2 linked regions of the Caenorhabditis elegans genome follow. Changing the gene in region 1 together with any one later gene gives a genetic interaction. Each region holds a gene or a part of one and is shown on either strand. Other genes may lie near its edges.

Evidence for each region.
Region 2: of lin-12 (region 1) and cam-1, changing one suppresses a phenotype caused by changing the other (phenotypic suppression), as found in Caenorhabditis elegans (one study listed by BioGRID).

Annotation. Positions count from the first base shown.
Region 1 is NC_003281.10:9,066,811-9,074,447, reverse strand, and holds the start of lin-12 (lin-12/Notch intracellular domain), read left to right. Parts: upstream 1-2,975; 5' UTR 2,976-3,059; coding exon 3,060-3,208; intron 3,209-4,728; coding exon 4,729-4,847; intron 4,848-6,462; coding exon 6,463-6,519; intron 6,520-7,534; coding exon 7,535-7,637. UniProt on the Caenorhabditis elegans protein: Essential signaling protein which has a major role in many developmental processes; involved in cell fate decisions that require cell-cell interactions. Probable membrane-bound receptor for putative ligands lag-2, apx-1, dsl-1 and osm-11.
Region 2 is NC_003280.10:9,305,711-9,313,361, forward strand, and holds the start of cam-1 (Tyrosine-protein kinase receptor cam-1), read right to left. Parts: upstream 4,595-7,651; 5' UTR 4,592-4,594; coding exon 4,515-4,591; intron 1-4,514.

The sequences.
Region 1 (7,637 bases):
AAGTCGAGAAAAGTTATGGTAACACTCTCTCGTGTTACATCATTGTGCACAAATAAACCGGAAGAAGAAATTGGGGTCTTAACCAACCTCATACATTTTCTGGAGTTCTAAACTTGCGAGTTTATGCATTGAAATTTCGAAGGAGCCGTACTTGAATCAAAGTATCAAATGATAGAAGTTATTATGCTCAACTTAATTTGGAGTAACACCAGTGGGAAATGAGAAAATATCATTTTCTAGTGCTAAAGCTGTTGAACATTATAATTCAAGTAAATTTCGAAATCTTAACAAATCTTAAATCTTAAGATATTCATTTCCAGTCGAAAAGTGTAGATGACTCTGTTTTTCCATATCATGATTTCGGAAGTTGGCCAGAAGAATGAAAAATGGATTTTCCATCATTTTTTAAAATTTTAATTATATTTCAAAGGCTTATATTCAAGCATTGTAAGGGTTTCTGCGACATGGCTCAAAATGTCTCAGAAAGTCATTTTGAAAAATTTGTTCAATTACCAAAACTGACTGAAAATTTAGAAAAATCTAAAAATGTTCAAAGTTAGCATGCTTGAAATCGGATTGAATTTTCAGAAAAGAGAAAAAAAACTTTTAATAAAAATTATGAAATGATCAATAAACATCTGCAACCTCTACTTTCCTAACAATGACTCAAAATTGTAATCGAATTAGCAATAAACCATCGACAAAGGTCTTCGTGTATATAAATATTGCCAGATTGTCCAATATGACGATTCCACCTGTGCAACTGGAGATTGTATAAGTGTACCTGAATCAATCAATATTCAATATCTGCCATCTTGTGCCGAAATGTTGATTCTTTTCTATTTGTTTCATATTTTCGATTTCTTTTTCTTTTTCGTTTTGTTCCATTTGGCTTCTTTTCTACTACTACGTACGTTGATAACAACATTTTTTGGGGAGGCATGCGCCCACGCTAATAATCTCACAATTTCCCACTAAAAGGTTAGTTTTGAAAACATTTTCCCATTATTTTTAGATGCATGATCAATCAGTAAAAAATCAACTAAAACACAAAATAATCATGAATGGTTGAGATAGAAGGACACAGATGATGATGCACTTGTGCAAATAAAAGTAGGAGAACAAGGTAGCCCCATTCACAATATAACGGAAATTTGAATTTTCTTCAGCAACATTTTTTTCATTTTCATAAGATTTCCTATTATCTTTTTTGTGGTAATTTTAAGATTTGACTATTTTAAAACAAAATACCACCAAAGCTGATAATTAATAACGGCCTTCTAAAAAACCAGGTTTTTATAGAGCTATTGTTAATGCCATTTTTAAATGTTTTCTTAAATGTTACACTCATTTATTAACAATATTGTTATTTTTGAAACCTTTCCTTGGCGGGTTCCCATGCCAATAAATCAAGTCAAGAGGTCTTGAGACTAATCCGTCGACGACAGTTCAAAGTTGCCGGTTGATTGTCACGTCACATGTATATGACACCACAGTAACAGACACCTGTGCTCCTGTTGGCTCATCCATCATTTCCGTGTTTTGGGAAAATAGTAGTTAATTGGTAGCAACAACTATGCGTGAATTTTTGCAACAAATTTGGTTCAGATAGCAATTAATTGTCGAGAATAAGGTTATATTTAATTGTGTGAAACAGTTAAAAAAATAATCAAAAAATGATCAAATCTGTTTGAATTCCCGCCAAAAACAAACGCCCACTTTTGAACCAATTAGCGACTTCGGAATTTCCATACTTAATCTGATTGGTTGAAGAATGGGCAGAGCGAATTGCTGATTGGCCATGCAGTTCTCGTTTTGGAGGTAATTCAAATAGAGAGATTAGAAAACACCTTGGAAAAAGCGTGTTCAATATTTTGATTTGTTTTTTTTTCTAATTCTTACTCGATGTGTTTAGTATTTTCAAGCTCTTTCAGCTTTTGAACAGGAAAAGCTATGAAAAATCTCTTCCGCCTATAAAATGGCTAAAAATCATTTATACAATCTTACAGTTGTTCCTAAATGGATAAAACCAAGATATTACTTTTTGAACAAAGCTTAGAAATTTTTTGCAAGTATTGATGTATAAAACTAAAAACTATAAAGTATCCGAATAAACAGAAATAAACAGAAATAAACAGAAATAAAACTCTAAAACTGACACACAAAGACCCAAAAGCCGCAAATCACCATACGTTCCCAGCAGTTCGTTTTCCTCATCTTGATCATTCTTCCTTCCGTTCCCACTCTCTTCTCTTCCACCTCCTCCTACTTCTACTTCATCCAACCATCTGACATCGTCGTTTCATTTTAAAATCATCTTCTCCTCCTTTTCTTTCTCGATGAAAAAAAAGTCTACTTGGTGGCCGCACCGCGACCGCAACAAGTTGGGCGGAGCCATCTGTCTCTCTCTCTTTTGTGTTCATCCTACCCCCACCCCTTCGCCCTCTCTCGTCCTTTTTACTGGGTGAAGACATAACAATAGCCACCCATTTTTTGATTGGCATTTATTTATCCTTAATTAATGATAATGCAAAAGCTACCAGGTTTGGGTTTTATTAGGTTTCGTTTATTGGTAATAATATATTCCTACAGCTCTCACGAAATATTTAAAATGTTTCGAGCCAAGTATTATAGTTTTAAGAATTGATCCTGTTTCCTTCTATTTTGCCCTTGTTTGTTAGTTGACGATGACTGTATTCCTCTTTTAGTATTGCAACTCACTACTTTACTTTGAAAGGTAATATCTCCGCTCATTTTGATGATATCAAAAACTGATTTTCTGCACAATGGAAAAAATATTTTGTCAGCTGACAATTATTATTTAGAACAAATGACAACTGAGATATAAGCTGTCAACACTAAATAACAGGGGTGCAATATTAGTACGGTCCGATCCTTTGCATTTCTATACCGTTTTACTGTCGTCAACTTTCAAACAACGAATTCACTAAATTAAATAATTCAAAACCATTTTCAGAACCTACATGATCCATATCTAAAAGCTAATTTCCTGTCTCTGTCCGCCCTATTGCTCAACAGACTTTGCTCAATTTCAAAAAATGCGGATCCCTACGATTTGTTTTTTATTTCTTCTTATCTCGTTATCAAAATCGCTTCATATTGGCTCATGTCTTGGCTTAATATGTGGAAGAAATGGTCACTGCCATGCTGGACCTGTCAATGGAACTCAAACTTCTTATTGGTGCAGGTATGTGAAGATTTTGCTTAACAATACTTAAACATTTTTTCAAATTTTAATTCAACGTAAAATAAATAATACAAATCTACACATTTTGAAAACTAATCTTAAAAATACGCAATAAATTGGGGGTAAGGAATATTCCTAGGAATTATGGGATTTCCTTTACAAAATTGTCAACTGACCAAATTTTTGTTATTTCTCTTGCTACCGTTTTGTAGTTACCGTATTTCCTCTATTATTCTTTTATTCAAGACTATTAGAGGAAATACGGCAATTCTTTTTATATCTTTGAAATTAACCGAGTTATAACTTTACAAAGTTAAGTAGCTAGGTGCAATACTAGTAAAAGAAGTACTGTAAATTATAACAAAACATTGTTTGTACCAGTAGACTATTCTTCCATAATCCATGCCCTTTTCAAACAATAATTACGTAATCCGTCTTGATTTATAGCGGCATGTGCTCTCCGTTGAGCAGCTAGCTCCTGATAAGATAGGTGATATGGTTCAAGTAGAGACACGTGTCACTTGAACAACACACCATTAATTTATAGTTGATGTTAATTAATAGGAGGACATTGTTCGCACGGGTTCCCACCATTTACGAAACTTGCGCAACAAGAGAAATGAGCGAGTAATGAGAGAAAAAACCCCACAGAGGAGACACCTGCGTCGTCCCTCGCTGTAGAAAAAACTTTCAATTTTTTTGGGAAAAAGTGAGGGAAAATATTGTAAAAACAATACTTTCAGGGTGTTATGGGAAAGTTGGAAAAAGTCGGGTTTTGGATAAATCAACTTCAGAAAAGCAATTCTCAGCCATTTTTTTCCTGCCAATTCTCGTCTCAAAGTCGAAGAAAAACCAGGCAATTAACCCGCTGAGATTCTCATTAAAATGCGAAAGAGAAGCAGCTTTTCCCCCTCCTGGTCTCGCACCGCCGCCAAAAAATCACCCAAATCGGTAGTTTATTGCCATGGGAAAACCGAAAAATACGGGAAATTGAGGGGAGAATTCTTCTTAATGACAAAAAAATACTGGTCTTCCACATTTTTCTTATCAAACAAAAAAGAATGGGGTAGGATTTATGACCAAGTTCCCAAAAGAAATGACCAATGGGGGGTTACTGTAAGATTACTGTAGCTGGTTTTGAACTCCCTATCAGATGTATTATCTGTCAAAGTTTTTCCCGAAAATTTAAATAGAAGTATAGAAAAATGTTTGCACTTTCTGAAAATTGCTTTACTTTCAATTGGCAACTTCGGAAAACTGCAACGAATGCCACTTTTACTCGGCATTTTGAGACTTTGAATGAGAAAAAGAATAGTCTTCAAAATTGCTTATCTTATCACAAATGAGGACTCAGTTGCCACCTCACAATTTTACAGCCGTGTTCCCAGTTTTGTCGGCAAAACATACTGTCGAGTGAGCCTACCATCAGTTGTCATAAAACCATAAAACAATAGGATTACGGTGCCTTTCGGCTGCACGACGTCTTTAATCTTTAACCCTAACCCTTCCCAATGTTTCAGATGCGATGAAGGATTTGGTGGTGAATATTGTGAACAACAGTGTGATGTTTCAAAATGTGGAGCCGATGAGAAATGTGTTTTTGACAAAGATTATCGGATGGAGACCTGTGTCTGTAAAGGTAAGATAATGTAATTTCGAGCTGAATAACTTATACACAACACTTCCCATTGCATCTCATTTTCCTGCAAAACCAATGAGCCAGTAGTGGTCACTTTTTTGCCCAATTCCCATAGGGACCTAAACACCCATCACTCATTTTTTTTAGCCCTCCATGGTGGCGGTGTTGCGAATGAAATGTTTTTTTGGCCCAAAATTCCAAAACTAGGGTCAGCTGCGCGCGCCCTTTTGTCGGTCATCTTTTTGACCACACCATCCATCATAAGCACATGCCTGGTGGAATTGTGGCAAACAACTGACAAAGTTGGGGGTGAATAATAATTTGAAAGTGAATAGGTGGATTTGAAAATTCAATGGAAGTTAAGAAACTAGGAATTGTATCATTTTTAAGACTAAACGAAATATTCGAAGATTAAAAAATAAGAATTTACTTACTCATTGTTAAAGCTATCACAGGTATAATAGCAATAGGCCTATAGGCAACGCGTATACAGGTCTAAATGTCTGCTTCACGCTGACTTGCCGGCCTACCGTCTAATTTTTTAAATGTTAGCTTGAACTCTGTAGTTTGCTGTAGATTGATGTTGAAAATTCAACAAAAATTGAAGACATTAGAAGATTGGAAGTTTGTGGCTACATGTGTAATTTATGCGAAACAGACGTAGGCTGCCTTGTAGGTAGCCAGGCAGGCATTTCCTCATATTTCGAAAGCTTACGAAAACTATGCTTTAAACTTTATGCGCTTACCATTCCCAACTTTCAAAAATTTTACTAATCGTTTTCCGTTAAACCATTTATGAGTATTGCTCCAAACTTCATCAATCTGTAGTTAGTAGATATTTAACAAAGTTACGGCAACCAAACACCTCAATATTTCATCATGACTCGTTTGTATCGAGGACAAATTGAAGCGCGGCCAATCTTTTTCCATTTCTCTTCAGCTCATTTGTCTTGTTGGCGGCGTTAAAAGTGACCGCGTAAGGTGCCTGATAGATAGCTCCTAGGTCATCTGCCCCTCCTAGCCTCTCTGTTTCATGCGCGCTTCTCTATTGTCGATGCGCTTCTTTTTGGCGCGATTTATGTCTGATGTTCGGTATGTGTGAAGAGGGCGGTGAATTGGGCGACGACCCGATGGCGCCTCGTGTGTGTTGCCAATTCTTGGGAAAAAGTGGGATAAATGACCTAGAAATGATGAGCAGATGATGATAGTATATAGGATTTGATGTAGCAGAAGTCTGTCGGAGAAGAAGTGGCAGACGTGGGAAAGTATACATTTGGTTATTGTACGACTAGGCTAATAAGCAAATATACAAGTGGAATGGTTACAGGGATAGATCAATTTATATATTAAAAATAACTGTCTGCTTTTGAGTTCATATGGGTAATGTAGGAGTACTGTAGTTTCTGAAAAAGTGTTTTTGTTTTTTGAAAGGATATTGGAATGAGGTTAGTGGATACATGTTGTATGTGTACTGTAGTGGTAATGCAGGATACTGTAGGGAACTGTGATTATTGTAGTACAATTATTCATTCAGATAATTATTCCAGTTCAACACAAAAATATCCTAGACTTAACTTTTTCTAATATACAGAATAATTATGATAGTAAATTTCAGATTGCGACATTAACGGAAACAGTCTACTAAAACCAAGCTGTCCATCCGGTTACGGAGGTAAGTACTTCCATATTCTAATGCAACAATAACCCGAACAAACAAGTGTAACAAACCACTAATAGCGCCCTGTAATTATCGGTTCCGATTACGTCACAGTACACTTGAGCAAACTTAACGGATTATTGATGGGCATAGTTAGTTTAACAGAGACAGGATTACTGTAGCCGTATGACTTTCCCGTCAACACCGATCATCTTCGAAATGACTCTATAATTACTGGGGGTCGTCTTCTTGACGTCTTGATAATAGAAGGTCGTGGGAAACGAATTCTGAAATGAATTCAGATTCAAAACATTCTAGGTTACGGTATACTTTTATTGGGGCTTTTGACACGTTCCACAGTAGTTGCAAACCCGAAAGGAAACCCCACTGAGACTAGGTGCTCCACCTGTTGTCGGATTGATATAATCTAAAAGATCATGACTGTTGCGTGTTTCCTTTAGTAATAAGATTGACACCTAGTCTCATCTTAAAGATATGTCTTAATTGGCATGCAATAGGCAGTGGTATATATTTAAAAGTGTAATAAAAAATTTTAATTCAGAAAAGAAATTGTGACTACTTCACTTTGAAAGGTTATATCTCGGTACATCTTTGAATATCAATTAATAACCAAGTACTAACCTGTAGAAAAAATTAAAAATGTTTCATTAAAATGTTTCGTTGACATTTTTCAAATAGGACAAACGACAACTGAGATATAAGCAGTCAAAGTTAAAAGAAATACGGTATACGAACTTCCATGAAATACGAGATATCCTTGATGTTTCTGAATTTCAATTAAACCCAATTTTCTAACAAGTAACTATTTTGTTCGCGGTATTACCTTCACAAAGTAGTCTAAAGATTGTAATGAGTTTGTCATGGTGCGTCGGCAAACTTTTTGATGTGATGTATGTCAACTGCCGTGCCTCTTTTTGTGTTGCGAACGAATTTGATACTTGTGGGAAACCACAAAATATAGGGATTAACGAACTAAGGATTACTGTAGATTTACTGTAGAGCATTTCAGGAGACGACTGTAAGACACAAGGATGGTGTTACCCGTCTGTCTGTATGAATGGTGGACAGTGTATTGGAGCTGGAAATCGAGCAAAATGTGCATGTCCAGATGG
Region 2 (7,651 bases), on another chromosome or scaffold:
AATTGGACAGGCGATTAGAGAGTACATAAATTTACGAGATTACAGAGAAACTTGCAGAGAATAGTTGTGCTCTCAGAGAGATGGAGATGACACTTTTCTTTTCAAAGTGAAATTGTCCGAAATAGGAAGAAAGAGAGGAGAACTTTGTATTTCTATTCATATTAAAATAAGTGGAGACTTGAAAAGAATTGGAGTACTAGCGCTAGTAGTCGTTCAAGTTTTGCTCTAAACTTTAGAATTTTTTAGAAGGATGATGGTTGGCATTGGAAAACCCAAATCTTTAGAGAAACTTAACAATAAATAAAATTACTTAAACAATTTCTTGACCAAAGAGAAAAATGCAAAGAAATAAACAAAAAATTAAGAAGCGGTCGAGAAAACTCAATTTTAAAGATTTGGTAGATCAAGTCTGAACAAAAGATCAAATATCCAAAAAAAATATATGAATGGTGGAGGGCCAAGAAAACCTCGCCAAAAATTATGATAACCACCCTGGTTTTTAGAAAATGCCTATCTAGACTTCAAGTTACATTCTCCGTTTTCTTCTCTGAATTAAAAGTGGAGCAATTATATATTTATTTCTAAGAAACCTTAAAAACTCGCATTCCCAGCAAGTTTCAATAGAATTTTTCAGTGGAAACTTTAAGATCAAATCCAAAAAAACATTAAATTTCACAACAAAGTATAGCATCTCAAAAAAAAAACTCAAAATCTTGTCCCATGTCCCAGCTTCCGAAAAATGACAGATTGTTCAAACAAGCGAAGATTGAGCAGATTTTTGCACTTATCGACAACGACGACACGGAGAAAACTGCTCAAGAGCCCTAGAATAATCGGATCAAGTGTGTATGGTCCCGGGGTGATGGAAAAGGGTACGCTTTTTGTATGCTTATGTTCTCAGTGAATGGTGATGAAGAGGGGATAAACAGATGTGTGGAGATTATTGCTTAGAAATTTTGGTTCTTAAAAGGTTTGAATGAAACATTTTAGAGGGTAATCAAAGTTAGAACAAATTGATCAAGAAAAGGTAAAGTACATAAAAAACATTGATAGACGAGCATCATTGCAACGGAGCAAAATAAAAAGATTTCTCTATTTTTAAATTTGAATCTAGCATCAACCTACAAACTATTGTATGTTTGGAATTATTTGTAAACATGAACAAATTATTGGTAGTAATGCTACAAATTTAATTTCCAAGACTCGTGCAGGAAGAAGAGTACAAGCTAATTAGGTCTCTCTCCATCACTTCTAGTGAAAATAAATGAGAAATGAGTCGGATGGATTGGGAGGGAGGAGAAGCAATGAAAAGAGCATCAGTCAAAACTAATCGAACATTTGCTCCTTCTCCACCATTGGCTCCTCATTCTCGCTTCTTCTTCTACCACCAAAGGGACCCTGTGCTCACTCACTAAATCACGAAAGTTGTCCGTGTGTGTGCGAGACTTGGGGGCGCGTAAATAGTTGAAATAATGATGAAGATTGATGGAGTTGCAATGAACTAAAGAACATGGGGAAATTCGAAGAGTCACAGAGAGATGGAGAATGGGCTCATGGTGCCAAATTTGAGAGTGTGTATGTGACTTGTATTTCGAATTTTCAAATTTGGAATCAAGCAATGTAGTTTTTTGGTGTTGAAATTTTTTGGGCAACTATAATAGAAACATAAGAAAAATTACACTAAGAAGTTTCTGAAAATAATCTTTCTAGGGAGTATAAGTTTAAAAAATTGACTTCCAAGTTGTCCAAACAAATCACAAATTCCTATAAAAGATCATCACAGTCTCTACAGAGAGCCAGTAAAAGCCGACTACCGACAAGGATAAACATGATGATGAGAACGGAATTGGAAAGTGGATCACAAACATTGAAACAGTGTGTTAGGCACAATTTACTACAGAAGAAGAGACCGAGATAGATACAAACACTTTTCAACCCAATGTTTTGATCTTACAATCACTTTCGGTTGTTGGGTGTACTTGCAATTGGTGGAATTGTTAATATGAAAATTTAAAAAATCACTCAATTTTTCTGTGCCTGAAGAAAGTTGACTGTGAATTGACTAACTGCAGTTTGCCACCCATTGAAAGAAATGGAAATAGTTCAGTCTGAGCAAAATAATTTCGAAATCAAAAATGCTCTATCAGGTATAACCTTGCCTCAAAACAAAATTTCATCTAAACCTGAACACGAGACTCACTAGTCAGTAATAATAGCCCACCTAAATGACTATTATTCGCATCGAAATGCGAGTTCCATTAGCCTATTCAGGAGTAATAGGATATTGATCCAATTGCAAATATACTGACAGAGCCTGGGAAACAAGTATAGACAAAAGGTGTGAAGGGAGTTTTGGAATACGGGAAGAAGATGGAATGGTAATAGATAGATGACGTAAAAGATGTGGAACGCATGCTCGGCTGTCAGGTCAAATTAATGGAATCGGTGATAAGAGAAGAAGAAAAATAAGAGATTTGATAACGAATATAAAAAAGTAAGTTTTGACAAATTTTTCTACATGTGAGGCTGAAGATATAAAAATAATTTAGAATTTAGTTAAAAGTTGTGGAAACAAATCTTGCGCACTTAAAGAATAGTTCTCCAAATGGCAAAATATGGAGGTTTGTTAAAAACCGTAAGATTGTTTAAAACTATCTCCAGGATTTTAGTACACTAAACCTAGAAACCAAAATAAAAATTCAAGATAAATTCAGCTAATTCAAGTTTAGGAATATTTCATTTCCGGGGAGGAGAAGTGCGGATTGACTGAACGATATTTAGGATTAAGCAGACTAAATCAAGCTAGTATTAAAATGCCTATTATAGATTAGTAATAAGACCTTAATATTGGAATCAAACTGTTTTCTAATCACTAAAAACCGTTCAAAAATGATTCGAAAGTTATAAATTAATTAGAAAAAGAAACTAATAAATAGTGATAAATTAACTTCTTTTTTACGATGTGTCATCATTACAAGGCCAATAAATTATAAATCGAGTAGTCCATCCGTCGGATGAATGTGCGGAGCGCGTTTGGCGGGGAGGGCCCATTCGACAGAATCCCCGAGAAATAGTATACTGATTCAATGAGACGCAGAGACACAGGGGATGACTGACAGTAGGAAAGAAGGCAGAGGTCAGTCCGTTTTGTCAGATATTAGGGAAAGAGAGAGAGAGAGGAGATGGTCACGGTTAGGGTGGGGGTGGTCCGTTGTATGGGTGAAAGAGGAGGAAGACGTCCGGGTGTTGGTGGATGTATATAGGTGTCAAGTGGATTATGCAATATGTAGAACAGAAGAGGTGGGAGAATGGTCATCCATTATATGGGCATGTCACTCCGTTTGTTTGAGGGAAATGAGCTTGTGTCAGTTAACCCAATTTCCGCATCCGGAATGACATTTTGATGCTCTATAGTGGTACAAAATATGGATGAAAAAATAATAATTGAAATTTCCAAAAGAATGGGTGCTAACGGAAAATTTTGGATCGTGATGTTATATCTAATTACCAAAATTCATCAAAAATGTGAGATATCGGCATTTGGCACCAAAATATTACACAACTTTTCTCTTAAAAATACAAAACTGGCGAAAAAATTTGTAACACTTGACTGAGACCATATCCAAGTATTGCTCGAAAAATGGAAAAAATTGAGCGAGTTTCAGCTTCTGCCCACGTTTTGCCTAAAAGCACTATATAAAGTTTGTCAATTTTTTTAACAAGTTAAAATAACTTAGGCAAAAATCGAGCCAAAAATTATTTTCATAACGATTTGATTTTTGATATTGACAAAGTATTAGCTACTTAAAATTCACAAAAATTTGAAATAAATCACTTTCGAAGTTGACCCCTTTAGCAATTAATTTAACTCAAAATCTAATAAAAATTGCGCTAAAACTAATCGCAAGTTGCAAACTTGTCAAAAAGATGAAAAATGGGAAGTCGACACGACGGAAGTTTTCAAGATTTTGAATGAAGATAATAAGTTGGGTGGAGGGAGAATTGCAGAAAAATTTCCCATTGAACATTATTTTTATAATCAAGATTCTAACGGTGAAGATCACATACTGCATAATACTCATCGGGCGAGCTTGATGAATGTGGGAACGGATGGCGGTAACCATATGGTTTTATTCAGAAATCAAGAAGTAATTGGGTTTATTTTAAATACATTTTTTGAAAATCTATATGAACTGATCTATATGAACATATATGAAAATCTATATGAACTGATTAAATGCTTTTAAAGTTTATATTTTATACGCCAAGAGGTGGACGCGCATTTTAGAGGTCGTTAAAAATTTTTGTAGTCAGCAAACTGTACATCTATAGACTCACTAGATTTAAGCATTTTGTGTTTTTGAGGCAATCTAATAAACTACTTGTATTTGACCCATATTCATTTAATCTGATAGTAAATAACCGAACCGTTTGTTGCCAAAATAGGCAGCTACAGTTTCTACCACCCGTATCTAATTACTATAATTATCGTATCAAAAGACAGTAATACTCACGATGCATTTCCGTAGTGAAGACCCTCATCGTCGGCTGGTTCTATCACGAGATCGTCGTCTTCTGGTCGGGGAGACATTTCTGGAATATTCAAGATTTAGGGTATAAAAATTAAAAAATGGAACGAGATGGTAATATACAGAGTTCAAAAATTTATTCGAATCGAGAATTTCAGCACCAGTAACATAAAAAAAGGTAATTCAAATATTACTTTAAAAAAACAGAAATTCATAAAGTTCAGTGAAGCAAAAGTTGAATTGAAGTATAAAGCTTAAGCCGGCTAAAAAAAAAGTTGAGAAATGGCAGGTGAGATTTCAGAAATCGCAGAATTTATCATGAGAATTTGAGAGGAAATTTAAGAAAAAGTATAGAATTTCAGTTTTCTTAAGTCATGAATTCGACAACTTTTCTCTCTTCTAATTCTGAATTCATTTCCAGAAGAGACGCAGGTCTTTTTCATTAGATGACAACTTTCAGGACCACCAATGAAACTTTTTTTCTCAAATCGAAATGAATTGAGGATGAAGTACAAAAAGAGACGGGAAAAAAGTCATTTTCATATTAGTAGTACACATTTTGATGCGCTTTTCCACTCATTTTGCATGTAAAATAAATGTGATGGATGACTGAGAAATGAGCAGGAGCACGAAGAGTTGTGAAGCAATGAGTTAGAAGAAAGAGTTGGTGATGAAAAATGGAAGAAAATTGAATGAAAAAGAGATTTAGAGAAGAAAAGATGAGCATTCTTTCATGCAATTTTAGTAATACACGGGTTTTCACACCTGTCTAATAAGGCTTATAAAGCAATTTGGAAAATAATTGAGTTTCCTGACACAGCTGGATATACACTAGATTGTCACTTATTTTAAAAGTAAGAAAGTGGAATTATGACGAAAGTTTGTCAAAAATTTAGGTGTTTCACCCATCAAAAAACTCAACTGTAAAATTTTTAAAATGGTGTTCTTAAAATGTTTAATTGCATGATTTTATTTCCAAATATTTTTTCTAATATTTCACTTTGTCATTTTAATACTAGAAACCAAATCCCAATTTATACTTGAAAATCAAGGTCCAAAACAAACTCCGGAAATAACGTGAGAAAACCAAATGATATGCTTCCTGTTGATGTTCTGAATGGAATTTCAAACGGGAATTCTGGGAGAGTCCCATTCGAAGAAGAACAGCTAAATTTCAGAGAAAACATTTATATATTGCACAAAATATGAGATCATGGATCTTCTAATTAAATTATTGAAAAATTGTCACATGTCCAGAAAGTCCAATGAACGTTCGTAAATTCATGGGCAGGTTTCCAAACCTTTCGACTATGTGAACAAATATTTTCAGGTCGATTAAAAAACTTTCAGAACGTGTAAATGATTACAATAATTTTATTAGAAATGATACGGTAGATATAAACAAATTGGCCAAAATGTATGTTCCTAAAACATGTGTGATCTGCAGTAGATATTTCGAAACCTTCAGCATGAGCTAATTTTGTATATGTTTCTCAAAATCCTAGATACACTGGAGCATTCATCCCTGAGAGCGTAAATCGGATAAAAAGAGAAACGCAAAATGATTATTATAGAATTTGAAAGTAAGTGCATGCTCCTGCTCGTGCTGCTTCAGAATTGTGTTCACCGAATGTAGAAGAGAGAAATTTCAAGAAGCGGGTCCTTGAGTGTGAAAATTTGTTTATGCTGCTGTTGGAAGCAGAGAAGAGGATTAGGCGTTGAGCACAAGGAGCTATGAGAGAAATAGACGATTATAATCAAAATGGACAACAAGTAGCCGTAGGAGAAGAAAATTGGAAATTGAGTTGAGTTGGTACGGAATTCTGTTGGTGGGAATTGTTTTTGAATAGGCATGCTGGAAATGTTGTAGTACTAAAAATATTCCCAAAAAACTAAAGTTTAGTCGCATTTCAATCACTCAGAAGCTTCTATGCTAAATAAAAATCTATGTGTGTCAAATTTTCAATACAATCTAAAAATTTATAGTATGGTACAGTTATCAAAAGAAAGTTTTGATAGGAGTCTATTAGATGTGAAAGTCCTAATAATCAAAATACGGGCAGATCGGGTTTTGAGTTGTCTTCACCGTTATGCTGGAACTTTCTTAAACTTTAATTTCCTATTTTGCAAAACAACTTGGAACAAAACTCTAGAGAAAATGAAGAAAATTAGCATATGCTCATATAGTTGGAACAAGAGAAATCTGATTAGCTAGGACCGCTTGTTGTACTTGATTCCAATGTGCCAAAAAGATGGCACATCTGGAGGGATACCTCTAATTAGAAATATTCTTTCTTCCTTCTTCCTCTTTAGACGTCAACAACGACAACAATGGGTGGATGAACCAAGAGAAGAAAAATAGGAAAATGGTGATTTGAGCCAACAGAAGGGTGTGAAGAGCTCTGGCACCCATAGGTACGAAGGGTATGAATGGGACCATTGAAATGTGAAGGATAAACAAGAAGTTTTGAAGAATTCGTAATCGTTCTCTCCGGAAGTTTGTCTATTCAAAAATGAGAACAAGTTGAAATGAAAATAGAGTGAGAGACGTAGAATAAGGTGTTCAAAAGATCGGATTAAGCAATGGGGGATTGCTAAAGGGCGGGAGATTTTGGAGAAGGAAACATTCAAAAAGTTTTGAATTATATTCAAAATTGACACGAAATGATTGAATAGTTTGAACATATTTAACATATTCAAGGCGACAGCTCAAAGAAAATTCAAATTTTTTAAGGAGGTCTGGACTATCTCTATAGGTACTGTAGATTTCATGGGTTACCATCGGAAAAAATGAATTCATGTTCAAAGTTTATTTTTCCTAATTACTACGTTAGCAAATGCTTTAACTAAATTAAGGCTTTCAAATCTAGAGGGCGAGCATGCAAAACTTTGAAAGTTTTCACAAGCCAGAAAGCTAAGCTGAAAGATTCGTCTTAAATTCGAAACGGTACAAATTCTAACTCGAAATTTCTACAAATAATTGGAGAACACAAGAGCATAGATGATCTTCTTCTTCTTCTTCTCGAATATCAATTTCGGGAGAAGTTGAAGTGCAAGCACCTTCTTCCATTCTCAAAGACTCTCAGGTGTCTCCTCATTGTGTTCTAACCGAGTCTAACACA